4 linked regions of the Saccharomyces cerevisiae S288C genome follow. Changing the gene in region 1 together with any one later gene gives a genetic interaction. Each region holds a gene or a part of one and is shown in the gene's direction. Other genes may lie near its edges.

Evidence for each region.
Region 2: mutations in SDO1 (region 1) and BCP1 impair growth when combined (synthetic growth defect), as found in Saccharomyces cerevisiae (2 studies listed by BioGRID, with this or other methods).
Region 3: mutations in SDO1 (region 1) and AGC1 impair growth when combined (synthetic growth defect), as found in Saccharomyces cerevisiae (one study listed by BioGRID).
Region 4: mutations in SDO1 (region 1) and CIT3 impair growth when combined (synthetic growth defect), as found in Saccharomyces cerevisiae (one study listed by BioGRID).

Annotation. Positions count from the first base shown.
Region 1 is NC_001144.5:183,674-191,040, reverse strand, and holds SDO1 (guanine nucleotide exchange factor SDO1), read left to right. Parts: upstream 1-6,114; coding exon 6,115-6,867; downstream 6,868-7,367. Other genes in the region: putative ubiquitin-protein ligase UBR2, read left to right, coding at 1-3,378; IZH3 (Izh3p), read left to right, coding at 3,912-5,543; IRC25 (Irc25p), read right to left, coding at 6,879-7,367. UniProt on the Saccharomyces cerevisiae protein: Involved in the biogenesis of the 60S ribosomal subunit and translational activation of ribosomes.
Region 2 is NC_001136.10:1,194,912-1,198,179, reverse strand, and holds BCP1 (protein-transporting protein BCP1), read left to right. Parts: upstream 1-1,916; coding exon 1,917-2,768; downstream 2,769-3,268. Other genes in the region: transcription factor TFIIIC subunit TFC6, read left to right, coding at 1-1,501. UniProt on the Saccharomyces cerevisiae protein: Involved in nuclear export of the lipid kinase MSS4 and of the 60S ribosomal subunit. May also play a role in directing MSS4 to the plasma membrane. Plays a role in actin cytoskeleton organization and vesicular transport.
Region 3 is NC_001148.4:597,681-607,436, reverse strand, and holds AGC1 (citrin), read left to right. Parts: upstream 1-4,079; coding exon 4,080-6,788; downstream 6,789-9,756. Other genes in the region: SDD4 (Sdd4p), read left to right, coding at 125-3,526; ATP20 (F1F0 ATP synthase subunit g), read right to left, coding at 7,220-7,567; MCM DNA helicase complex subunit MCM4, read right to left, coding at 7,886-9,756. UniProt on the Saccharomyces cerevisiae protein: Calcium-dependent mitochondrial aspartate and glutamate carrier. Transport of glutamate in mitochondria is required for mitochondrial transamination reactions and ornithine synthesis.
Region 4 is NC_001148.4:554,469-562,587, forward strand, and holds CIT3 (citrate (Si)-synthase CIT3), read left to right. Parts: upstream 1-1,908; coding exon 1,909-3,369; downstream 3,370-8,119. Other genes in the region: histone acetyltransferase catalytic subunit HAT1, read left to right, coding at 137-1,261; PDH1 (putative 2-methylcitrate dehydratase), read left to right, coding at 3,917-5,467; YPR003C (uncharacterized protein), read right to left, coding at 7,036-8,119. UniProt on the Saccharomyces cerevisiae protein: Dual specificity mitochondrial citrate and methylcitrate synthase with similar catalytic efficiency with both acetyl-CoA and propionyl-CoA.

The DNA of each region.
Region 1 (7,367 bases):
GGTGTAAATACACAGTATTTTTTCAATCCAATGTCATATTTGTTCAAATTTGTTATTCAATGGAGTCAATGTGGTAGATATGAGCCAATTCCTGCTTCTTTGACAAACTACATTAATCTCTTCGAAGTTTTTCAAGATAAGCAGAAGGCTTTATATATATCAGAATCTGCTTTGTCAACCCTAGTCCTAATCGGGCAAATAAACGTCGGTTTCTGGGTAAGAAACGGAACTCCAATTACTCACCAGGCCCGGATGTATACAAAATACAGTATGCGAGAATTTACTTATATTAGTGACATTTTCAATGTGCAATTTAGTATGGCAATGTGCAATCCTGATGAACTGATGGTTACTTACCTCTCAAGGTGGGGTTTGAAGCACTGGGCAAATGGTGTACCTATGTATGATTATCCTGATACAGAAACAACTGTAGCCGTTGTTAATGAATGCATTCTGTTATTGATTCAATTGCTTACTGAAGTGAGATCATTGGTCATGAAATCATCAAAGGAAGGCTTCGAGAGAACGTTCAAATCAGAAATAATTCATGCCCTTTGCTTTGATACATGCTCTTACGCACAAATTGTTAACTGTATTCCAGAACATATCACCAAGCACCCTTCATTTGATATATATCTCGAAAAATACGCCAATTACACTTCTCCTGTAAGCTTGACTGACAATGGCATTTTCGTGTTGAAAGAAAAGTATAAAGATGAGATTGATCCTTATTATATAGGGTTGTCTTCCAGTAGGAGGTATGATGTAGAGAAAAATATCAGGCTGAATATGGCAAATTTGAAGAAAATGAAATATGAAGATACTTTTGTACCAGCAAAAAAGGTTAAAGATTTGTTGAAGAATACATTATTTTCTGGGCTGTATTCAATATCATCAGTGAATACTTTTGGTTTATTTTTGAAAAATACTTTAGATCACATTATAAAATATGATTATGACAATTTATTGCCGAGAGTGGTTCATTTGATTCATTTATGCGTGGTTAATAATCTGAATGAATTTATGGGGATACTGTGGCATGAATACGCAATTGTGGACACAGAATTCTGTCATTACCACAGCATTGGTTCTATCCTGTATTACTGTTTGTTGAAGGATAATTTTTCGGAATCTCATGGTAAGATTAGGGAAATTTTCAGGTATTTAATGGAAACAGCGCCTCACGTAAATGTAAACAGTTATTTGAGGGAGCAAACCACGTCATATACACCAGGAATATTGTGGCCTACAAAGGAAGATAAAAGCCACAAGGATAAAGAATTTGAAAGGAAAAAACATCTTGCTCGATTGAGAAAGAAAAAATTAATGAAGAAGTTGGCTCAACAGCAAATGAAATTCATGGAAAACAATAGTGTAGATACTTCCGATATTAGTACACCCAGAACCACATCACCTAGTTTATCTCCCACTAGAATAAATGCAGAGAATAGTAGTAACACAATCAACAGTTGCTGCGATGATGATTGCGTATTTTGCAAGATGCCGAAGGATGACGATGTATTTGTTTATTTTTCATACCAAGAACGGAACATATGTGATCATGGAATTGATTTTACGAATCCTACAGATGTTAATAGAATAAATTCGCTGTTCAGTGGTAAGCAAACAAAAGACAGTGCAATCCAAGAAAACCCCCAGGATGATGATGGAACGAGATTGAAATTTACTAGCTGTGAACCAGTATTAAGAGCATGCGGGCATGGGTCTCATACCAAATGTTTAAGTGGCCATATGAAGTCGATTCGCGGAATACAAAACCAAACTACAAAAAATATTCCATTATCGTATGGTTCAGGGTTGATATATTGTCCCGTATGCAATTCCTTAAGTAATTCATTTCTACCAAAAACAAATGATATAGATAAGAGAACTTCGAGCCAGTTTTTTATGTGTATTGAAAAGCGAAGTGAAGCGGAAGAAAACCTTGACCCAATGAGCTCTATTTGTATTAAAGCAGCGATGATTCTAGGTGATCTTCAGGGTAAAAAAGTCACGACTATCGAAGATGCATATAAAGTTGTTAATAGTGTTTTTATTAATACTATTTCAAATACTGAGCTCAGATTAAGATCGCACAAAAAGGAAGGAAAAATAGTGAATATGGAAAGAATATCCAGTCAGTGCATTTTAACCTTACATTTAGTTTGTGAGCTAAAGTCGTTTATTTACAAAAAATTTGTTAATTCAAAAACATTCAGCAGCGAAATCTCTCGTAAAATATGGAATTGGAATGAGTTTCTAATAAAGGGTAATAATGTGAATCTACTTTTGTATATGAGTCAAAATTTTGATAATATTGATGGAGGAAAAACCCCGCAACCGCCTAACCTATGTATCTATGAAATGTTCAAAAGAAGGTTCCATCAACTACTACTGTTGCTTGCAAGAGATATGATGAGAGTAAACTTTTACAAAGACTGTCGAAATAAAATCAAAATATCATCAAACGGATCTGAGGAACCATCGACAAGCTTTTCATATCTATTCAATACTTTTAAAAAGTATGTTGATCTCTTTAAACCAGACGACGTTCGGTTTGATTTTACAAGTTTAGAGAAAATTAAAGACTTTATATGCTCTCTATTACTAGAGTCATTGTCCATTTTTTGTAGAAGAACCTTCTTATTATTCAACATTCAGTATGATGATGATGGTGATGGTGATAATAATAATAACCGCAGCAATAATTTCATGGACGTCAAACAGCGTGAAATAGAGCTTATTTTCCGGTATTTTAAATTACCCAATTTAACTCACTTTTTGAAGGATTTTTTCTACAACGAACTAACACAAAATATAGAAAGGTATAATGATGGTAATGATAATTTGAGAATTCAGCAAGTAATATATGACATGGTGCAGAACATAAACACAAGAGCATATCCTTCACCAGAGCATATCCAGCTTATCGAACTACCATTGAACCTTTCCAAATTTTCCCTTGATAATGATGAAATATCGAATAAATGTGATAAATACGAAATCGCAGTATGCTTGTTGTGTGGCCAAAAATGCCATATTCAAAAAAGCATAGCACTGCAAGGTTATTTACAGGGGGAATGTACTGATCATATGAGAAATGGATGCGAAATCACCTCCGCTTACGGAGTTTTCTTAATGACCGGCACAAATGCGATATATCTGTCATACGGCAAAAGAGGTACATTTTATGCTGCACCTTATCTAAGTAAATACGGAGAGACCAACGAAGACTACAAATTCGGTACTCCCGTCTATTTGAATCGGGCGAGATACGCGAATCTAGCGAATGAGATTGTTTTTGGCAACATGATTCCGCACATAGTGTTCCGACTAACGGACGGCAGTGCAGATCTTGGTGGGTGGGAGACTATGTAGTTATCCAACAAATGTCTAGTCATTCAAAATTGCTACGAAATTAGCGTATCCGAAAAATCAAAAGAAATTTTATCTGTTTTAATTGGCGTGGGGAAGTGGGGTAGGGTCGAGGATCATTACGCTTTCTCGTGGGAAGGGACAGGGACGGACCGAAAAAAAAAGAAATGCCGCAGAAAAAGAAATGTTTTAGTGTGGGGTATGGGCTGAAGCTCGTATAGTGCAGGGTGACTTCACTTTTCTTTTTACCCTGCAGGAAATGGAGAAAGTGTTGATGGATAAGGTATATAGTCATAAGGTGACACAGCGTGGGTGTACATCTAGAAAGCTTGGCGATTCGAGCGAAGTGGTGGTTTACTCGTTTTATAATAAGAGTTTTTGGACATTATTTTTTCTTTAGGACACAGTTGATTCAAATTCTACACTTGTTTTGTCGTCTGGTAAAGTTTAGCCATTGTAAAGTGGACAAAGAAGAAGCTGCAACGCAGATAAGCTGAAAAATAGTTCACATCCCAACAGACAATCAAATTAAGTACATGATGGACTCGTCAAGCAAAAGCTTAACTCAGTATATACCCTCACCCATGGGATCTCTATCAAGGCTAAAGCAGAAGGGTGTGGACAATTTTCAGAAGGTGAAAAAATCCGGTAAATCCATCTATAATTACAACTACTCAAAATTCGTTCCTCATCCATTTTCAACTATTGATGAAAGTGTTAAACACTCTGAAAGTGGGCGGTATGATGATTTGGAGATAATTCGTCCAACAAAAGAAAAGGAAGTAACAAGTTCTGTGTACAAAAGAAACAGTGGCAAGTCTCTGAATACAGAATCTCAGTTTTCACTGGGAGATTCAGATGCAGCCACTTTGGTGAATTCAGTCGCTACTTTCAAGCTTAACAATGCTTCTACATCCACTTCACTGGTGTCTTCATCTTCAACTGTATGTTCTCAAGCGAAGTCCTCGTTACGTTCCCCAACAAGTCGTCTCAATGATACAAAAATCAAAGAGGAAAACAATTATATTTCCAGCGTGAAAGACTATTGCGGTCCAATGAGAAAATCCATGGTAAAGACGGAAATCCTCATTGAAGAACCTTTGAATCCTACTACCGATATCAAGTCTTTTATAAACTCATACAACCATGGCAAAGCGTATAGTCTAGGTGAAACTCAACATTTACATTATTATCAGTTGCCATTCCCATGGAGGGAAAACAGATACATAATCCATGGCTATAGGTTTTACAATACCCATTCCAAATCTTTGTTGTCTATCTTTAACTGGTACGGCTGGCATAATGAAACTTCAAATATTTGGTCTCATTTGTTAGGAGCCATTTATATAATCTACTTGGCAATTTACGATTTCCCTCAGTCTGAAGTTTGGCGGAATTCCCAGGTTCCACCACAGGCTAGATGGATTGTTTTCATGTTTTTGGCAGCTGCGTTGAAATGTATGCTAAGCTCCGTGTTTTGGCATACTTTCAACGGAACGTCCTTCTTGAAGCTACGTTCTAAATTTGCGTGTGTCGACTATAGCGGTATTACGATCTTAATTACAGCTTCGATATTGACAACGGAGTTTGTTACCATGTATTCATGTTACTGGGCGATGTACACTTACATGAGTATTTCTCTGGCGCTGGGTGTATTTGGTGTGTTTATGAATTGGTCGCCTCGCTTTGATAGACCTGAAGCAAGGCCATTAAGAATTAGATTCTTCATTTTGCTGGCTACTATGGGTGTATTGTCGTTTTTACATTTGATATTTTTGACTGATCTTCATTATGCTGCAACGCTATTTAGCCCCGTCACATACAAATCTGTTGTTTGGTATTTGGTTGGTGTGGTATTTTACGGTTCGTTCATTCCTGAACGGTTCAGATCTGACGTTCAGGTTGATAAGACCATTCCAACAAACTACGAATTATCTACTGATTTAGAAATCATCACAAAGCAAAGGGAAATTCATTTTAGAGAGGTGCCAACAGCCCATTCCAAATGCAGTTCCTGTCCGTCTCATGCCAAATCATTTAAATCTCTATGGTGGGTTGACTATTTTGGTTGTTCGCACACTTTTTGGCATTTCTTCGTAGTGTTGGGTGTCATCGGCCATTATAGAGCTATTTTAGATATGTTTGCCAAGAGGTGGATTTTGTCATGATGGTATGACTGACTACCTTTACTTACAACATCCTGCACTTTTTCTGTATACGATAAACGGACTTAAAAGAAAGAAAAGCCTACAATTACATTGTTGGAGAAGCCACATAGCAATTTCGAAAAAAACCAGAAATTGTAAACCACGAATTCTCCTGTATTATTTCATTGTTAAAATTTTTTTTTTACTTATATTATACCCATCTTTTTCGATATTCCTGCTGGCATTGTTTTGGCTACATTTTCAAGAAACTTTGGATCCAAAGACAAAAGGAACAAACGAAATCTAAAAGCAAAAAAAAAGTTGACTGATTATAAAAACTACATTACGACGAAAAGAAAATAATAAAACTGTGTACTTTTAGTTTTGCATTTATGTATTGACTGTTATTTAACTTATTATGACCTCATGAAAGAACAAAACTTAGCGTGTATTGTTCTGCTCAGTGCCTTGTATATATAATAATGTTCATGAAAAAATTTTTCTAGGCCGAACTTAAGTGATTTCATGCAGTAGTAAAAGTTTTTAAAATTTTTACTAAAATAGTTCTGAGAAAGAAAAGGTAAAACACGCAATGCCTATCAATCAACCGTCGGGACAGATTAAGTTAACTAATGTTTCATTAGTGAGATTAAAAAAGGCTCGCAAGAGATTTGAAGTCGCGTGCTACCAAAATAAGGTCCAAGACTATCGAAAAGGAATTGAAAAAGATCTGGATGAAGTGCTGCAGATACATCAAGTTTTCATGAATGTTTCGAAAGGCTTGGTTGCTAATAAGGAAGATCTACAAAAGTGTTTCGGGACTACAAATGTTGATGATGTCATCGAGGAGATCATGCATAAGGGAGAGATTCAATTATCGGAAAAAGAAAGACAATTAATGCTTAATAAAGTTAATAACGAAATGCTTACAATAGTTAGCGCTAAATGTATAAATCCTGTGTCAAAGAAAAGATATCCGCCCACAATGATCCACAAAGCTTTACAGGAACTGAAGTTCAGCCCTGTTATTAACAAACCTGCCAAATTGCAAGCTTTAGAGGCTATCAAATTATTGGTTTCTAAGCAAATTATTCCAATAGTAAGGGCGAAGATGAAAGTCAAAGTGGCCATAAGTGAGCCATCTAGACAACCCGAACTTATTGAGAAGATTAGTAAATTGATAGCTTCATCGCCTGGAGAGTCAACGAAGCCGGAATTGGATCCTTGGACATGTACAGGTCTTATCGATCCTGTCAATTATAGAGATTTGATGACCCTATGTGATAAAAAGGGAACTGTGCAAGTCTTGGATATGGCAGTCATAGATAATACAACGCATAACTAATTTATATAGAATCACTTTGCATACATATCTTTGATACACTTTAACACAAAAACTAATTTGCCAAAATCATTATCGTCAGCGCTTTGTTCCTTCGTTGCTCTCCATATCTTACTGCTCATGGATATCAGCAAGCTGAATTGCATGTTGTCTTGGGCCATCGTACCGCTCACTTCTGGTAGAATAACTCTCCTATATAGTTCGGCAATCTGTACGCATACCACGGGTACTTTAGGATCGGCACTATCTCCCAACTTGGTAACCACTTGATAATCAGATAAATGGTCTCTTACAAATTCTTCTTCCTCATCGTCATAATCGCCACCCGTGTTTCCTAGGTTTCCTGCCAGTGGTACGTTGATATCGAGAATTGGGTTTAGTCCTTTTGAAGATACCTCATAGGTGGAATCCATTTCCCCATTTAGTCTGATTTGCAATAGAATTGTGTTATTAAAGTGCGTGGCTTGTACATACAATTCTTTGTTTTCGGATGAAGCGTTCAA
Region 2 (3,268 bases), on another chromosome or scaffold:
TTATGGACTGAATAAGGAAAAGTTATTGTTGCTAGCAAAAGTTAAGGAAGGCTTTGAAACTAGCGTTTTCGATTTCCCATTCAAGAATATTCAGCCTGATTCTCCATATTTTGTATGCTTAGATCCACCGTGTAAAAAGGAAAGTGCATATAATAAAGTCATAGGGGATAAAAACAGAACCGTATATCATGAAATTAATAAGACTGAATTTGAGAATATGATCAAATTGAGAACGAAGAGATTGAAGTTACTTATCGGGGAAGTTGATGCAGAGGTATCCACTGGCGATAAAATAGAGTTTCCGGTGCTTGCTAACGGCAAAAGGCGCGGCTTTATTTACAACGTAGGAGGATTGGTAACAGATATTGCATGGCTTAATATAGAGGAAAATACTGATATAGGCAAGGATATACAATATTTAGCCGTCGCGGTATCACAGTACATGGATGAGCCTTTGAACGAGCATTTAGAAATGTTTGACAAGGAGAAGCACTCCTCCTGTATACAAATTTTCAAAATGAATACTTCTACTCTACATTGCGTAAAAGTTCAAACCATTGTACACTCATTTGGTGAAGTGTGGGATCTTAAATGGCACGAAGGATGTCACGCACCTCATCTGGTTGGCTGTTTATCATTCGTAAGCCAGGAAGGGACAATAAATTTTTTGGAAATTATTGATAATGCAACCGATGTTCACGTGTTTAAGATGTGTGAGAAGCCTTCTTTGACTTTATCCCTGGCAGACAGTTTGATAACTACTTTTGATTTTTTATCTCCTACTACTGTTGTTTGTGGCTTTAAGAACGGATTTGTAGCAGAGTTTGACTTGACTGATCCTGAAGTGCCTTCATTTTATGACCAAGTCCATGACTCCTACATATTATCCGTTTCAACAGCCTATTCAGATTTTGAAGATACAGTCGTCAGTACAGTTGCGGTGGACGGCTACTTTTACATTTTCAATCCAAAAGACATTGCTACAACAAAGACCACGGTGTCCAGATTCAGGGGAAGTAATTTGGTTCCAGTTGTTTATTGTCCTCAAATCTACTCGTATATTTACTCAGATGGTGCAAGTTCCTTAAGGGCTGTGCCGTCTAGGGCTGCTTTCGCAGTTCATCCTTTAGTGTCGCGAGAGACGACCATAACGGCCATTGGGGTGTCAAGATTACATCCAATGGTCCTTGCTGGATCAGCAGATGGAAGTCTTATTATAACCAACGCAGCTAGGCGCCTTTTGCATGGCATTAAAAACAGTTCAGCAACTCAAAAGTCATTAAGGCTTTGGAAATGGGATTATAGCATAAAAGATGACAAATATAGAATTGATAGTTCTTATGAAGTGTATCCGCTGACGGTCAACGATGTTAGTAAAGCTAAAATAGATGCGCACGGCATTAATATAACATGTACAAAATGGAATGAAACGAGCGCTGGAGGCAAATGTTATGCATTTTCTAATAGTGCTGGACTATTAACACTCGAATACCTGTCATGAGATGGACTTTACGTAATAAATACAATTTGTGACATTGAACTATTGTTGACGAAAAAAACTATCTTTTTTTATTGAAATGAAAAAGGAATAAAATAGCCTAATGTAAAATATCGCCTGGCTAGCACTAATAACTTTGAGTATTGTTGCAGTTATTCCTGCCGCAAATTATGTATTAAAATTTATACAGATATTGTGCCATAACTTCAGTTAAGGGTAAATTATCAAATTCTCGATATCCGTGGTCACTTTATACGAGTTTCTCTTTCCGTGCCTATATTCCTCGCGATGAGATTGAGGTAGAAAAAATATCTGAAAAAGAGTTGTCAATATATTATCTATTATGTCCTTATAATTTTATCATTTAGATTGTTCATGAGGCCCACATTTTCATAGGATTGCTAATTAACTCACAAATATGGTTCAAGCTATCAAATTAAATGATTTAAAAAATAGGAAGAGAAAAAATGTGGAGGAAGAAAATGGCAGTGACGAGTCTGAAATTGACATTAGTAGCACCGATTCAGAAAATGAAGAAGAGCAAAATGGAGAAGAAGAGATCGTAAATATTGACTTCGATTTTTTCGGTGGTAACCCAGAAGTTGATTTTCATGCTTTAAAGAATTTACTGCGTCAGTTATTTGGTCCTCAAGAAAGTACCAGGATTCAACTAAGCAGCTTGGCAGATTTGATCCTAGGTTCCCCAACCACCACAATTAAAACAGACGGCAAAGAATCTGATCCATACTGTTTTCTTTCATTCGTTGATTTCAAAGCTAATCATCTAAGTGATTATGTCAAATATTTACAAAAAGTGGACATGAGACTTTCCACTTTCTTCAAAACTATGATTGATAGTGGTAATAAAAATTGTGCTTTGGTTCTCAGTGAAAGGCTGATTAATATGCCACCGGAAGTCGTTCCACCTTTATACAAGATTACGTTGGAGGATGTTGCCACGGCACTTGGCGATGACAAACATTATGACTTCTATATCATCGTCACCAGGAAGTATGAAGTAAATTTTGACACTGACGATGATACCGACTCTGGTAAGAGGAATAAAAACAAAGACGAAAGATCCAAAAAAAGGGTGAAGGCCGATGAAGTAGACTACTTTCATGAGGAGGACCGATTTTTTGAAAAATATGCCAAGATTCACTTCGAATCAGAAGCTAAAAAGGGTGTTATCAGCTCATACATGATTCTTGATCACGAAGGCCTTGTCAAAAGTATCGATGAATTGGAAACAGAAATTTCCACTTGGTAATTTTACGAAAAGTAAATAGTTGCGATCACTGCCCTGCACAGTTAGTGCAATTTGTATATTATTAACAGACGAAGCAGCAGCGGCCATTGAGCCTTTATGTCATCCTACACGGATAATTTTGGGCTGCCGAGGACAGTAAAAATTAATCCGCCACCGCTGAAAATTTTTCTGGGCGATCATCTTTTTAATGTCGTGTGCTCCAATAAAAATACATAGTATATATTGTGCAAAGTGAAATCAGATTGTAATTCAAGAAAGGTCATTCACCCTGAGCCTTATAGAACATAGTCAGCATATAAGTGTTGAGCATTTTGAGCCGGGGCATACAGGTATTTGCGGCGTAACTACAAAATTTCTGGTTCTTCCCCCTTTCGAACCGTTAGAAGGGATAAGGATTTTTGCGTACTTGCTGCAGCCGCGAAATTTTCAAAGGCCGGCTATTACCCGTAGGCGTTAGCCGCCGAACAGATAGAATATAAAGATTATTTAGAGACATCATA
Region 3 (9,756 bases), on another chromosome or scaffold:
AGTTGCGAACAGCTTCTTTAATAGTTTTAAAGGCTGTATTGAGATTCTAGGACTCATCTACTATGTTTATAATTATAAAAAGTGACCAATAAAGCAGTGAAGCTAGCTCTTAATATTGGCAAAAATGCACGGCAAAGAGTTGGCTGGCAGGCTCCGGAAAAGGGAAAATGATAACGATTTATCACCAAATTCAAGCTCTTCTCCTGCTGAAAGATTTAGGTGTCCACATCCCGAATGTAATAAAACTTTCTCACGTCAGGAACATTTATCAAGACACAAGCTAAACCACTGGCCGAAAGAGATATATGTTTGTTCTTACGTGCTTCCTACTACAAATGCGCCTTGCAATAAAACGTTTGTAAGGAAAGATTTACTGATCAGACATGAAAAGAGGCATTCAAAGGTGAAAAACAGATTAAGTCGGCCAAGCAAGGACCAGATTTCCTCATCAAATAAGGACTTCTCCAAAAATGCACCATATAATCCCAGTGAAGTACCCCTTTCTACGCAAAGTGGAACTTCTACGATTAACTTAATAAAAAATTCTGTGAATCCACCACCATCTATCACACAAGAATCAAAATTTCGTCCTTTTCTTCAACAGGCTCAACAACCTCAACAGGTTCAGCAATCACAACAACCACAACAAATTCAACAACTGCAGCAACTTCAATTCCCGCAGCAACTGCGGGCACCATTGCAACAACCTATGTTGCAGCAACAAATGCATCCACAGCAAGCAAGTCCTACTTTTCCATCGTATGATCCTCGAATAAGGAACAACGGTCAAAATGGTAATCAATTTTTTAATTTGATATTTGATAACCGTACAGGCGTTAATGGTTTTGAAGTGGATGCAGCGAATAACAACGGTAATGGCAATGACCAAAATATGAATATCAATCCAGCCGTGCAGCAGCAACGATATCAAGACAGAAATTTTGCAAGTAGTTCATATCAGCAGCCACTCCAGCCACTTACCCAGGATCAACAACAGGAACAGTACTTTCAGCAGCAAAAGCTTGCCCAACAGCAACAGCAACAGCAACAGCAACAACAACAACAACAACAATTACCACCCCAGAATCCATTTGGAGATCCATTAACATCTTCCTCTAGCGGTGCTAATTTGTCAGTTATGCAGGACCTTTTTTCTACAAATTTTTTGAACAGCGACCCATTACAATCTTTCATGCAAGAACTTTCTGAAGCCCCGCAAGTAAGTATTGAAGATACATTTTCTGACAAGAATACAATCCCACCTAATGAAAAACCTGTTCAACAAGACGAAGGGTTCCAGAATCCTCCAGTTATGTTTGAGTTACCACAAGATAACATTAAAATTCCCAAAGCACAACCGAAGTTCAACGATAACCCCAGTACTTCAGTGAAGGACAATCTTTCCAGTCAGAAGCTTAATATCAACGAGCTAAAACGGAGATCATCTAAAGATTCAGGAGTAGGAAACAATTCCTCTCTGAACTACAAGGAACAGTTGCGTCACTCTATGAAAAGTGTCCCGTCATTTTTCCATCCGGATCCCTTAACAAAGTATAAGATATCAAAAGAAAAATGTCAAGAAATGTTTTCATTTGTTCCAGAATTACGCTATGTCTCTATTGAATCTATACACAAATCGTTAAAATCCTTCTGGTTGAACTTCCATCCACAATACGGTCTGCTTCACAAACCCTCTTTTCACGTTGATAAACAGCCTGCAATTTTGAATTTGGCACTAATTATGACTGGCGCAAGTTTTTTGGGAAGCGAGTATCGTGAACAGATTAGTGACCCAATTTGTGGTCCTCTAAGATGGATAATTTTTTCTCATGCTGATTTTCAACCACCTTCTAAAACCTACATCATTCAAAGTTTATTATTAGTCGAAGGATATGAAAAAACAAGTACGAACAGGTATTTACATGAAAGGTCTTTTTTACATCACGGAACGACCATTCAATTGCTAAGGCGAACGCCCTCTTTAGGCGGCCATCCCTTAATGGTCAAAACCGGCAAAACCTCTGGGGAAAATTCAATTCAAGACCCACAAGAAGTTTATAAAAGATGGATTGATTTTGAAATGTTGAAAAGAATAGCTTTCTACGCATTTTATATGGACACTACACATGCTGTAGTGTTTGGATACTGGAATTTATTTATTAATAGCAATCAGATTCAACTAACTTTACCCTGTCCAGATCAAGTGTGGGAATCTTATGATTTGAGCTATGAAACTCTGATGGAGCATGGGTATGGCAGCACAAAGAGAGATGAGAATAATACATTTTTGTCTGCGTTAATGCAATTAATGAAAAATGTCATTCAAATCTTACGAAATAATAATATACGGAGAAACAAAGTCAACAATGGTGGAATAGAGAGTACCCCTACAGACTTGGAAAGCACTACAGATTGGAATATTCAGAGTCTTTTTGGTAAAAAGATTCTTTTGGCGGGGATAATTTCGATCTTATTTCAATGTCAAGAGGAAGTTAATGGTGACTATTTCATTACTAACTTTAGGGGCGGAATCACTGATCATTTAGGCCTTTCATGGAAAGATATTTTATCATTTGCAATGAACTATTGGCTTCACGAAGTTCAGAAAAGCTGCACTGATCCGAAAGCATGTAGGATAAGTACTCCATCTGAGGAGACACTAACGAACAGAAAAATTGACGAGGATAATGGAGATGGACTATGTGATGATGATTTGGACTTGCTTTCCTCCGATAATCCGTCAAATTGTAAAATTCCCGTTATTCATATCTCTCAAATTGTCCTACGTATTCTTCATCATGATTATTACATATATGCAGGAGCACCTTGGAGAATGAATGTACCAATTGGTCGCGATGAATATGACATGATCAGTCGCAGGATTCTCCAGTTCGCTAAGGACCCCTACAATGGGGGTGTAGCTGTAGTCTATGCCTTCCAGTTCTTATTTGAAATGTTTATCATTAAGGAAAATAACGTTCCAACCGTAGTGAAGAGCTACAATATAAATTCTGATCCTGTGATTACTAGACCCTATGCGATTGCATTAACTTCACTCCTAATTTGGTCTTGTAATTTTGCATTACATGGCTGTGAAGTTAGCATATGGGATAATACAGAAGCCTCAAAGGATGAATGCTTTCAACCAGATGACAGCAATGGTGGAAACATTCTAGGCAATACTGATAATAATGGATCGACGATTGCAAACAACAATTTAAAGGAAAAGAACAATTACATTCCAATAGAAAGTTTTGAAGTTTACCTATTGAGAATGTATCGGAACTTATATGTGGATAGCTCACTCGATGTAGTTAGCTTTCAGAATGACGTTTGGGCAAAAGCGAGTTTACTTCAACATATTTCTAATACCCACTTTCTATGCGGGATGATGCAGTTTATGAGAGATATTTTCAACAAGAGCTACTGGGATTTAGGGCGCGAATTCGGAAAACTCTTCGATAATTGTTTGGAAAGGAGCCTAGGGAAAACGTCACCCACTTGTCATAACATGTTTGATGTTTAGTTTATATTCGTATATTGGTAAATCATCATATTTATTGTTAGATTAATGAAATGGTTATGAAAACATTTGTAAACTGCCAGCTGTGAAATTGTTAAATAAAATCGACACTGTATATAATTGCGCTTCATATTTTACATGTAAGTATGATCTATGTTTTACGTAGGAGAAAGAGCTTTCTTTATTGGTCATCCCACTGCAAGCGGTTATGAAAAATTTCTGCAGCATCGCTTTAGGGGAGTACTGCCGGCATGTTGGAAAAACATCTCGAAACATATATTGAATCTCAGAATTAACCAGTATTCGAAGCAAAGAAAAAAATATTTCGAAGATAGATAAATACCTCAAGACGAACCTGTCTTTTATATGTTAAGATTTGATATCTAATCTCACCAGACTTTCAAGTTTTATCTCACAACCTCGCGTTTGCCATAATTTTCGAAGTAGCCTGATCCCTTCTTTGTGAACATATTTCACTGGAAAAGTACATAACTTTCATAGCGTAGTTTGAAAGTATGCAGCTTTGCTACCGACCTTAAAGAATTATTATACTATTATGGAGCAAATCAATTCGAACAGTAGAAAAAAGAAGCAACAATTGGAAGTATTCAAATATTTTGCAAGTGTCCTTACAAAAGAGGACAAGCCTATTAGTATCAGTAATGGTATGTTAGATATGCCGACAGTGAACTCCAGTAAACTCACAGCAGGAAATGGGAAACCTGACACGGAGAAGCTTACAGGAGAACTAATTTTAACATACGACGATTTCATTGAACTGATATCTAGCTCAAAGACTATTTATTCGAAGTTTACGGACCATTCGTTCAATTTGAACCAGATACCCAAGAACGTTTTCGGGTGTATTTTCTTCGCTATTGATGAACAAAACAAGGGATATCTGACGCTTAATGATTGGTTTTATTTTAATAATTTATTAGAATATGATAATTATCATCTCATTATTCTATATGAGTTCTTTAGGAAATTTGATGTAGAGAATTTGAAGGCAAAACAAAAAAAAGAGCTTGGTAGTTCGTCGTTTAATTTAAAGGCTGCAGATGATCGAATTAAGTCAATTAATTATGGTAACAGATTTCTAAGCTTTGATGATCTTCTTTTGAATCTGAACCAATTCAAAGATACTATCCGCCTGTTGCACGAATCTATTGATGATAATTTTGTTAAAGATAACAAATTACTACTTGATTGGAATGACTTTCGATTTCTGAAATTTTACAAATGTTATCATGAAAATGAAGAGTATTTGAGTTTAAACTCTCTGGTCACGATTTTACAAAATGATCTTAAGAATGAAAAAATATTTATAGGTTTTGATAGGTTGGCACAGATGGACTCACAAGGGCATCGTTTAGCCCTAAGCAAAAATCAACTCACCTATCTTCTAAGGTTATTTTACTCTCACAGGGTGTCTGCAGATATATTTTCCTCCTTGAATCTATCAAACACCGAATTACTAAAAGCGGACAATAATTCCATTCCGTACAATGTATTCAAGGATATATTTTATTTATTTCAAAATTTTGACCTACTGAACCAAATATTTCACAAGTATGTTACTGAAAATAATTTGAATGAGCAGGATATTAGGGAACAAATAGTTACTAAAAATGACTTTATGACAGTTTTAAACGCCCAGTATAACAAAGTAAACAATATCATTGAGTTCTCTCCTTCCCAAATCAACCTACTATTTTCTATCGTCGCAAATTCAAAGGAAAACAGAAGATTAAGAAAGAGAAATCAAGATCGAGATGACGAGCTATTAAATGATCACCATTATGATTCAGATATTGATTTTTTTATCCATAATGAGTATTTGCATGGAGTAAGCAGATCCAGAAAAAATTTAGAAAGTTTTAATGACTATTATCATGATCTCTCGGATGGATTTGACCAAGACTCTGGTGTTAAAAAAGCTTCAAAAGCGAGTACTGGCTTGTTTGAATCTGTATTTGGAGGTAAAAAAGATAAAGCAACGATGCGTTCTGACTTAACAATTGAAGATTTCATGAAAATTTTGAACCCAAATTACCTGAACGACTTAGTTCACCAAATGGAATTGCAAAAAAATCAAAATGAGTCATTGTATATTAATTACTACTTTTATCCAATTTTCGATTCGTTGTACAATTTCTCCTTGGGTTCTATTGCGGGTTGTATTGGTGCAACTGTAGTATACCCAATAGACTTTATAAAAACAAGGATGCAAGCCCAAAGATCTTTAGCCCAATACAAAAACTCAATTGATTGTTTGTTGAAGATTATATCCCGCGAAGGAATAAAAGGTCTCTACTCTGGCTTAGGGCCACAATTAATAGGAGTTGCTCCTGAAAAGGCGATAAAATTGACTGTCAATGATTTTATGAGAAACAGGTTGACTGATAAAAACGGCAAGCTAAGCCTTTTTCCTGAAATTATTTCTGGCGCTTCAGCTGGTGCATGTCAAGTTATATTTACTAATCCGTTAGAGATTGTAAAAATTAGGCTACAGGTCCAATCCGACTATGTTGGTGAAAACATACAACAAGCCAATGAAACTGCCACTCAAATAGTCAAAAAATTAGGACTGAGGGGCTTGTACAATGGTGTAGCCGCATGTTTAATGAGAGATGTTCCATTCTCTGCTATTTATTTTCCCACTTATGCACATTTAAAAAAAGATCTCTTTGATTTTGATCCAAATGATAAAACAAAGAGGAATCGATTAAAAACATGGGAGCTTTTAACTGCCGGTGCCATTGCTGGTATGCCAGCTGCCTTCTTGACTACTCCTTTTGATGTTATAAAAACAAGGCTCCAGATAGATCCTCGAAAAGGTGAGACAAAGTATAACGGTATATTTCATGCTATCCGAACTATCTTAAAGGAAGAGAGCTTTAGAAGCTTTTTCAAAGGTGGTGGAGCCCGTGTCCTAAGAAGTTCTCCCCAATTTGGGTTCACTCTGGCCGCCTATGAATTATTCAAGGGCTTTATTCCCTCCCCCGATAACAAATTAAAAAGCAGAGAGGGTAGGAAGAGATTTTGTATCGATGACGACGCAGGCAATGAAGAGACAGTAGTTCATAGTAACGGTGAACTCCCACAGCAAAAGTTTTACTCTGATGATAGAAAACATGCCAATTATTACTATAAAAGCTGTCAAATTGCGAAAACATTCATTGATTTGGACAATAACTTTTCTAGGTTTGACTCTTCAGTTTATAAAAACTTTCAAGAGCACCTAAGAAGCATTAACGGGTGATTTATTTTCTTCGTCAGTTTCTCTGTACATATATATGTATATATTTACTTATTATAATTCATAGCAAAATATATGTTTTTTTTTTTTTCTTATAGTGAGAAAAATTACTAATGATCCTGAGATCAATTTCACTGTAGTTTTTACTATAGTGCAACAAGTATGTTGTTCTTAATAAGTGTAATGAAAGCTCTGAGGTCAAGTTTTCTTTTTTACAGAAAAGTTATATTGGCCTATTTCATAAATAACTGGCGGCAAGAAGCTAATGTAATATAACTCGATATCGCTTTTAATGCCATTGTATGTCATGAAAAGAAAATAAATAGAATTGAGATGAATATATATTCTTTTTTCTAGTTTTGTTCTATTTGTACATTGATTTAATTTAATTAACGAATATACAAGGGTTTTGCGAATAGATAGAATTAAAAAGCTTAGTGATGTTTATATCCCACTAATTTTCTTCTTCCAATTATTTCACCGACAGAATAAAACCCTATCAACTGAATACCATATGCGCCATATTTTAATAGTTCATTCTTTTGGATGTTTTTTAAACACGATAAAACTTCTGTAGGCTTTAGAGCAAAGTTTAGGCTCTGCTTATAAAGGTTCGAATACACTGATTTGAACTGGGCAACAGTTGGTGGTTGAAGACCCTCTTTTAAATAAATCTGTTTTGAAATCTCGGCACCGACTTTACCATAGTATAAAGCCTTTGATGACAAAAGATTTGCTTTAGAAACCAACCCACTGGTATAATTTTGGATCCTGCTTAGCATGATGAATTGATTAGCGTTCTGAAATATGATTTATCGGCAGGTTTATCTTGTCGATTTGGACTGGAGTAGAAAATATGAGGGATCTTTGCATCTTCATTTTTCGGTCTTTAAATGTAATCATCCTTCGGGATAAATTTAGTGCGTTTAACAATATTTTCTTTCAGCCAATCAGGAATAAGAAAAAAGCCGCCCACTCAATCGAGCCTACATACAGTATTGAATAGTGTTACAAAGCATAAGGATGTAAAAAATACAAACTTGCTATAATTAATTAGTATTTATTAATTGTTACGCAGGGAATGATTGTAGTAGACAGCATCAGACACGGTTATTCAGGCGAACTGATCTCCTTACACCCTCGCCAAGGACAATGACCTTGTCCTCTTGTTGCAATCTTGACAAGGCTTCCTGGATATCAGAAGACTCAACTCTATCTTGAGAGTGTTCATTGATTTGTTTTATAAGCTCATTGAATGACATTGAGTCTGATGCCTGATCCTTCAAAACATTCATAATTTCCCTTGACAAATCCTCCTGTAGTTTTCTCTGAATAACTGATTTACCTGTTTGAACTAAATTCATGTCGATTTTACCGGTTTTAGGGTCTGTTGCATAATCTTTTATGGCTGATCTAATTAATCTAACGGCTTCTTGAACATCCTCCAGCTCTACGACGTTTTTCAATTTCATTTTGGCGTGCGCCTCAGCCAAACGAATCATACTTTCAAGTTGTCTTGTGGTAGCTGTGATTCTCTTCTCATCGGATCTCGAATCGTCACCCATCTTTCTCATTCCTACATAAGCACGAACAAGCTCAGTCTTAGCGGCCTCGGTGATTATTGGGTGTATGTGCTCCTTTGCATAACTAATATACATCGTTAAAAATTCAACTGGTAGCACGTCGTCTTGAGAAATATGTTCGGGCTTATCTTCCAGGTAAAGATTTGTTAAGTGTTTGGCTAGTTCTCTGTCATTTTTCTCATCAACCTTATCAAGGACAAGATAGACCAGATCGAATCTCGAAAGTAGTGGGGGCGGTAGATCAATATTTTCAGTCACAGGCAAATTGGGGTTGTAGCGTGAACCAATTGGGTTAGCACTGGCCAAAATAGAACTTCTGGCATTAAGTGTTGTGATAATTCCCGCTTTTGCGATTGAAATAGTCTGCTGTTCCATGACTTCGTGCAAGACGGACCTTGTAGAATCACTCATTTTATCAAACTCGTCAATACAACAAACACCTCCATCAGACAATACTAATGCACCACTTTCCAAAACAAGTTGTTTTGTGTCGACATCCCTTGTAATATAAGCAGTTAAACCAACGGCAGATGAACCTTTACCCGAAGTATACACACCACGAGGAGTAATTTTGTGAACGTATTGCAAAATTTGCGATTTGGAAGTAGAAGGATCCCCACAAAGTAAAATATTTATGTCACCTCTATAACGGCCACCCTTGGTAAAGGTTTTATTCGTGCCGCCAAATAGCTGAAGTAATATACCCTTCTTGACATCTTCTAGCTCGTAAATACTTGGGGCAATAGAGCGGGCTAATAAACTGTATAAATCTTCTCTTGCCGCAACCTCGCGAATTTTTGCTAAATCCTGATCAGTAATTTGTCTTACTTCTTCGACCTCGTTATGATCTACCTTGTTCTGCATTAATTCTTGTTCAATAGTAGAAGTATCGACGTCTAACCTCTTATCTGAAACTTTTTTAACGTGGACCACATCGACGTATGTTTTATACAACGACTTTAGTACGCGTTGCCTGGAATTAGCTCTAATGGGGATGGACCTGAACGTGCCAGTCACCTCAATACGATCGCCCGCCCTGCAAGAATCCACTAATTCATCGTAAACACATAATGAGATAGAGTGAGGCGTTTGTCCATCAGGCACAAAGTCTGGAGTTTCCTGTAACTTAATGACTTGTTTATCTGCGAATGAACACCTGTTGTGAATCAGTGACATGGAATTGGGTTCATTACAATCAATACGTTCACACCTAGCGGGCTCTTGTATAACTCCTCTATCAATTTCCACTGCCATTGTATGATCGCAGACGTTGCATTTGAAAAACGCTACCTTCATATCAGGGATAACCGGAGTTGATCTCAGGACAAGACCCTTTAAGTTTATCAATTTATCAATATCATTTGGATTCAATTCGCGCATACCTTTAC
Region 4 (8,119 bases), on another chromosome or scaffold:
GTGATAAATATATTGTCTTCGAATAACGAATTTATTAGATTTCTATGTATTTCTACTTGAAGTTAGGAATAGATCTTTCTGGAATTGTTTTCAGCAAAATTATGCTTAAGCTATAACTATAGTGAGAATCAAGAATATGTCTGCCAATGATTTCAAGCCTGAAACGTGGACTTCAAGCGCCAACGAAGCCTTAAGAGTTTCTATAGTTGGAGAAAACGCTGTTCAGTTTTCACCATTATTCACGTATCCAATTTACGGTGACTCCGAAAAGATCTACGGCTATAAGGATCTCATCATCCACCTAGCATTTGATTCAGTAACATTCAAGCCGTATGTTAACGTCAAGTATTCAGCAAAATTAGGAGACGACAATATTGTAGACGTGGAAAAAAAATTACTCTCATTTCTACCAAAGGATGATGTAATTGTTAGGGATGAAGCTAAATGGGTAGATTGCTTTGCAGAAGAACGAAAAACACATAATTTATCTGATGTTTTTGAAAAAGTATCAGAGTATTCGTTGAATGGGGAAGAATTTGTTGTATATAAATCGAGTTTGGTTGACGATTTTGCCAGGAGAATGCATCGTCGTGTTCAAATCTTTTCATTACTTTTTATCGAAGCCGCTAACTATATAGATGAGACTGACCCGAGTTGGCAAATCTATTGGTTGTTGAACAAGAAAACAAAAGAATTGATTGGTTTCGTCACTACTTACAAGTATTGGCACTACCTTGGAGCAAAATCTTTCGATGAGGATATAGATAAAAAATTCAGAGCCAAAATATCTCAATTTCTGATCTTTCCACCTTATCAAAATAAAGGCCACGGATCCTGTCTTTATGAGGCTATAATCCAATCTTGGCTAGAAGACAAAAGTATTACTGAAATTACTGTAGAGGATCCAAACGAAGCATTTGACGATCTTCGCGACAGGAATGATATTCAAAGACTGCGAAAACTTGGTTATGATGCTGTCTTTCAGAAGCACTCCGACCTTTCTGATGAGTTTTTGGAGTCAAGCCGAAAATCTTTAAAACTGGAAGAAAGACAGTTTAATCGTCTTGTGGAAATGCTTCTTCTTTTAAACAATTCTCCATCATTTGAATTAAAGGTAAAGAATAGGTTGTACATTAAAAATTATGATGCCCTAGATCAAACTGATCCAGAAAAGGCAAGAGAAGCTTTACAAAATTCATTTATTTTAGTCAAAGATGATTATAGGCGTATTATAGAGTCGATAAATAAATCTCAAGGTTAACTGTTTATTAAATATATAATAACATATTTATTTGTTTAACAAGCCTGAAATAAGAAATTCTTTTATAAATACATCATCGAGATGATCATCAAAGTGTCTCTATAGTTAATATAAGCTTATGCAAAGGTTGAAGCCGTTATGTTGTCGTAATTCTAAATTACAGGTTATATTAAAGAGATTATCTTGACTGATATAAAATTTCTTATCATGGTAGTGATCACAAATAGATCACATGATATATTTTTTATTTTTAATTTTTTTTAATTATAAAAATAATTTTTTTCTTTAAATTAAACAAAAATAAAAAATTGTTTTTTGTTGGTTAAGATTTCCGAAAATAGAAATATTATTCAGTTGAAAGACAAAAAAACATAAATATTTCTATGAGCAAACAATTTGAACAGAAAAATAAAATTGGGGAAGTGACACACCATGGTAGCGGTTCTAAAGCGAAATCGGCAAAGCGGCTAAATAGCAGTTTTGATGACTTACTCCACACTGAAAATGGATGACCTTAAATAGGAGATAAAGCTTTTTCATCCCTATGTATTTAAGATGACTGGCTTGTCAAGCATTCTAATCATAAAAAAAAGATCGTATTTGATCAAGAATTTATACATAGACGCCGCTAAATAATTGAATACAAAATGGTACAAAGGCTTCTACCGGGCGCACATATATGCAGAAGGTCCTTCAATTCGTCTGCAATTATAAAGTCTTCTGCATTGACTCTCAAGGAAGCATTAGAAAACGTGATACCTAAGAAAAGAGATGCTGTGAAGAAATTGAAGGCCTGTTATGGCAGCACGTTTGTCGGACCGATTACCATTTCATCAGTTCTAGGTGGGATGAGAGGTAATCAGTCAATGTTTTGGCAAGGAACATCATTAGATCCCGAACATGGCATTAAATTTCAAGGTTTAACGATTGAAGAATGTCAAAATAGATTACCTAATACAGGTATTGATGGCGATAATTTCCTGCCAGAATCAATGTTATGGCTGTTGATGACAGGTGGTGTGCCAACTTTCCAGCAAGCTGCTTCTTTCAGGAAAGAATTGGCTATTCGTGGAAGGAAATTGCCACATTATACAGAGAAAGTTTTGTCAAGTTTACCCAAAGATATGCACCCTATGACCCAACTTGCAATTGGTTTAGCATCAATGAACAAAGGATCCCTCTTTGCTACAAACTACCAAAAGGGCCTCATAGGAAAGATGGAATTTTGGAAAGATACTCTTGAAGATTCGCTAAATTTAATTGCTTCACTCCCGCTGCTGACTGGGAGAATTTATTCGAACATTACAAATGAGGGACACCCATTAGGTCAATATAGTGAGGAGGTGGATTGGTGTACAAACATATGTTCCCTGCTCGGCATGACAAATGGAACGAACTCTTCTAATACATGCAACCTTACTTCCCAGCAATCCCTGGACTTCATAAACTTGATGCGGTTATATACCGGTATACATGTAGACCATGAAGGTGGTAATGTTTCTGCTCACACCACCCACTTGGTTGGAAGTGCGTTGAGTGACCCGTATCTCAGCTATTCATCTGGAATAATGGGATTAGCGGGTCCTTTGCATGGGTTAGCAGCACAAGAAGTAGTAAGGTTTCTCATAGAGATGAACTCTAATATTTCCAGCATTGCACGAGAACAAGAAATCAAAGATTATCTTTGGAAAATTTTGAATTCAAACCGTGTGATCCCCGGTTATGGGCACGCAGTTTTGCGTAAACCGGATCCTCGATTTACAGCAATGCTTGAATTTGCGCAAAAGAGGCCTATTGAATTTGAGAACGACAAGAACGTTTTGTTGATGCAAAAATTGGCAGAAATAGCGCCTAAGGTTTTGTTGGAACACGGAAAGAGTAAGAATCCATTTCCCAATGTTGACTCTGCATCGGGGATTTTGTTTTATCATTATGGAATCAGGGAATTATTATTCTTTACCGTCATTTTTGGGTGTTCAAGGGCCATGGGACCCTTGACACAACTTGTTTGGGATCGCATTCTAGGTTTACCAATTGAAAGGCCCAAGAGTTTGAACTTGGAGGGTCTGGAAGCACTTACCAAAGCAAGCAATGTTAACAAGTTGTAACGCAGTTCCAATTTACAAGAATGCTTCGTTTGCTATTACAATATTGAAATATAAATAAAATTCCATACAGCATGTCTAATCATAGCTAATTTATACATATTCATCATGAAAACATATAGGGGAAAATATGGTCGGTTAACACACCTATCAAAAAATTATTCAGCAATTCCAATCTCGTTAGTAAAATATATTCTTATTTTTTTTTTTTTTCTCTGATTGTATTATTTCTGGAGTTTTGACTTATTTTTTTACCACATCGCGCTTTTCGTCCCCAATCTCTCTGATATATGATGCTGTCTATAGGTAGCCACTTCCCCGATGTCGGACCTCGGGCCGTTTACAAACTTTATTGAGATGACCTTATTTCTCCACATTCTAGTCATTCAACTTTTACCCTCATATGTTTACCTTCACTAATGTGAAAGCATGACCAAAGAAAGTGTATAAGGTATATAAATCTGCCATAATGTATGTATAACTTATTAGGACTTTCTCAAATAGTATTTTGGTATTTTCTACTGTTCTCTGATGATCGAGAGCAAACAGAATGTTTTTAGCCAAAAATCTAAAAAATAATAAAATCAAGGTATGCTTGCCTAAAAAGAAATTTGCTGCGCTGAGTACAGCGTCTATACAAACTAATGAAAGACCAAATCCAGATAAGGTTTTGAAGGACATCGCGAAATATGTCCATGAAACCCCATTAAAATCATCTTTGGCTCTAGATACAGCACGACTCTGTTTCCTTGATACTCTAGGCTGTGGCTTGGCGGCTTTGAAATTTAAGCAGGCTCAAAATATTATTAAACCAATTGTGCCAGGAACAATAGTTCCCAGTGGAACAAAAATATTGGGCACATCTTACGTTATGGATCCAGTGAAGGGAGCTTTTGCCATTGGTACTCTAATACGTTGGTTAGATTACAATGACTGCTGGTTAGCTGCCGAGTGGGGGCACCCATCAGATAACCTTGGGGGAATTTTAGCTGTCGCGGATCACTTGTCCAGATTAAACAAGGCTACCCACGGAAAGAATGGAAAACAGTTTCTTGTTAAAGACGTATTAGAGGCAATGATTAAAGCGCATGAAATCCAAGGTATTATAGCGCTCGAAAATTCTTTCAATAAAGTAGGTTTAGATCATGTGGTACTCGTGAAAGTAGCAACGGCTGGTGTTGTCTCGAAGATGCTGGGCCTGAGCCAGGAACAAACTATTGAAGCATTGTCACAAGCATTTGTAGACGGTCAATCACTGCGTACTTACCGTCATGCCCCAAATACTGGATCTAGAAAGTCGTGGGCGGCGGGAGATGCAGTTTCGAGGGCTGTAAACTTGGCTTATTTAGTCAAAAATGCTAATGTTGGCACGATACCTTCAGTATTAACAGCTAGAACCTGGGGATTTTATGACGTTTTATTTAAGGGTAAACCTTTTTCATTCCAACAAAGATCAAAATATGATTCCTACGTCATGGAAAACGTTCTGTTCAAGATATCATTTCCTGCCGAATTCCATGCGCAAACTGCTGTAGAAGCTGCTGTAAAAGCATATAGGATTCTTGCCAAACAAGGGAAAACTTTTAAAGATATTAAATCGATCAGAATTAGAACTCAAGAGGCGGCAATGAGGATTATAGATAAATCCGGTCCTCTGTATAATTATGCCGATAGGGATCATTGTATCCAGTACATGATCGCGGTTCCGCTGATTACTGGTAATCTCACAGCTACTGATTATTCGGATGAGGTCGCAAGAAATCCTGAGATCGATAACTTGAGATCGAAAATGTACTGTATCGAAGATACTCATCTCACTCAAAACTATCACGATCCTGATAAAAGGTCGATAGGAAACGCTCTTCTCATAGAGCTGAACGATGGGACGCAGTTGGATGAAATTTTTGTAGAGTACCCTGTTGGTCACAAATTTAGACGAGAGGAAGGAATACCATTACTAATGAATAAATTTCAAAGGCATCTGCGCGAACATTTTGTAGAGAGCCCTGATAAAGTCGACCTTATAATGAAGGTAAGTTCAAAAACAAACTTTTTGAATATGCAAATCGACAAATACATGGATTTGTTTACTGAGGGATGAATGGTTGGCTCTTTAAGAGCGAACGGCATGGTACCTACTTCAATTTTTAAAGACAAAAGGCGCCGTTTCGATAAACAAGAAATCACTTTCAAAACATAATTAAACCAAAGAACATGCGGTTTTCTAATTATGCTGGCTTAATTTTACTGGTATTTATCTACATAATAATAACTATTAAAAAATTAAATAATTGGCTCTATTTATTTTTCTTTCTTCAACTTGCAAGAGTTCGTCAATTCATGGAAAAATACAAAAATAGAAATGCGAATTCTGTGGATCGAACACAGGACCTCCAGATAACTTGACCGAAGTTTTTTCTTCAGTCTGGCGCTCTCCCAACTGAGCTAAATCCGCTCAATTTCTATGCTCTAACCACCTTAGCTAAAAACTCAATACAGGATTAGTTGATAAATGGGTGTTATCAACTCAATCCACAGTGTTGGAATCAGAGTCAGTTATCATCTTTGGGCTAGTATTATTGTAAGTGTTGGAATAAAAATTCTAAAATATCATCCATTTAGTAGTGTTCATATTACTAATATATCTGTTGGAATAAAAATCCACTATCGTCTATCAACTAATAGTTATATTATCAATATATTATCATATACGGTGTTAAGATGATGACATAAGTTATGAGAAGCTGTCATCGAGGTTAGAGGAAGCTGAAGTGCAAGGATTGATAATGTAATAGGATAATGAAACATATAAAACGGAATGAGGAATATTCGTAATATTAGTATGTAGAAATATAGATTCCATTTTGAGGATTCCTATATCCTCGAGGAGAACTTCTAGTATATTCTGTATACCTAATATTATAGCCTTCATCAACAATGGAATCCCAACAATTATCTCAACATTCACCCATTTCTCAATATCATCACGTGCGGTCTAAGAAGATGATATGAAGATTGAGAATAGTCATCAGGTGTAATGGAAGCTAATTGCAAGGATTGGTAATTTAGTAGGATGATGAATGACAGTCACATAAGATGAAAAGGAAAACAATAATGCCATTATATCGAGAATATCGATCTCTTCGTGGATTCTTCTCATAGAGAAATTCTAGTATAATATATATACGAAATATTATGGCCTTTAACAACAATAAAATTCCAACAATTATCAACTAATTCGAACATCTCTTGACAATATACATTATTAATTTTTACATTTCGACTTTCTTTGAATTAGGGACTGTCTCTCAATTCATCTCTTTCTCATACAGAATATCACTTATCCTATATAACTTATATAAGATTAGAATCTAACTAGAGCGAGGAGAGCGGAAACTCGGATCAAAAGTGATTGTTTAAGTGTTTGTGCGTTTGTGCGGCTCATTAAGACAATAAGGTTTTGCTTTTGTATTCAATTTTGTGGGTTTTATAACGTATAAATGCGCTTCTTGAAAGCTTGTTAACGATTTTATCGTAAAGAAATAAATAAACTAAAGAATTGAGGAGACAATACTGTTTTGATAAATAAGCCCCAAAAATATTATAGGGCCGCAAGGAATAAATTTCATAATGCGCATATGCCCAGACTCCTCTGTTTCTTTCGAAGTTTTACACTAGACTTGAATTAAATAAAGTATTGGACATAAAACTCTCCGAATCATTGTTCGGGACGTTGTTCCCTTTAATTTTCATTTTCTCAATTTCATAAAGAGCCGCATCAATGCTATCGAAGTACGGAGAATATGTCTCTCCTGCATCACTAAATGTGTTGCTAGTATTATTTTCGTTGTTATTTGCTTGCGCTCTTTCCACACTAGCAGCTACACCTGCTTTGAATAATCGCCTTCTTACTTTGTCATTTATAGATACATTGACAAGGTAAATAAAGACATTGCGCCTCTTGTAACTAGTGATAATTTCCTCCAGCACTTGGGCGGCTGAAGAATCTATTGAGGTCATCCCACCTAAATCGAAAATGACATATTTTATGGAATCCTTCGAGCGAAGTGATTTCCTTCCAGGATGTATCTTAGACGAACCGTACCTCTCTATTCTGTCAAGTCTCTGTTTTAAATCTTCGCTGTTTGTAAATGTGAGAGGCTCAGGTATTCTAACAATCATGCATCCCTCGATTTCTTCTGTGCCCTCAACATCCAGAGAGTTCCTTTTCATGTTCATCATGTAGTCGTCAAGATTCGTAAAGTTCGACGTTCCCGCTACCCTAGCCAGAATTTGGATTCTTGACTTTGCTGAATGCTTTATAATATTTATAATTGAATAGACACATCCGATGCATATTCCTGCTTCGATTGAGTAAAATATTGTAGTGCAGAAGGTAACAGCAAAAACAAATAGTTCACTAAAGCCACCACATCGCAAATGGAACTTTATGTCGCCTGGCACTTCCTCTAATAAACTAATTCCGATGATGGTTGTTATGACGGATAAAACACAATTAGGAATATAATGTACGAATTGAAGAAGTAAATTCATTGTGATTAGGGTGATGACACCCATAAACACTCCCGACATTACGCTTTGTGCTCCTGATAGGGCGTTGATCTTGGATCTTCCATATCCGCCGAATGCGGGAAGAGCACCGAATAATGAGATGACAATATTCATGAATCCTAAAGCTACTAGTTCTCTATTAGAGGAAACGGTAAGATTGTAAGTTGTTCCAAGAGATTTC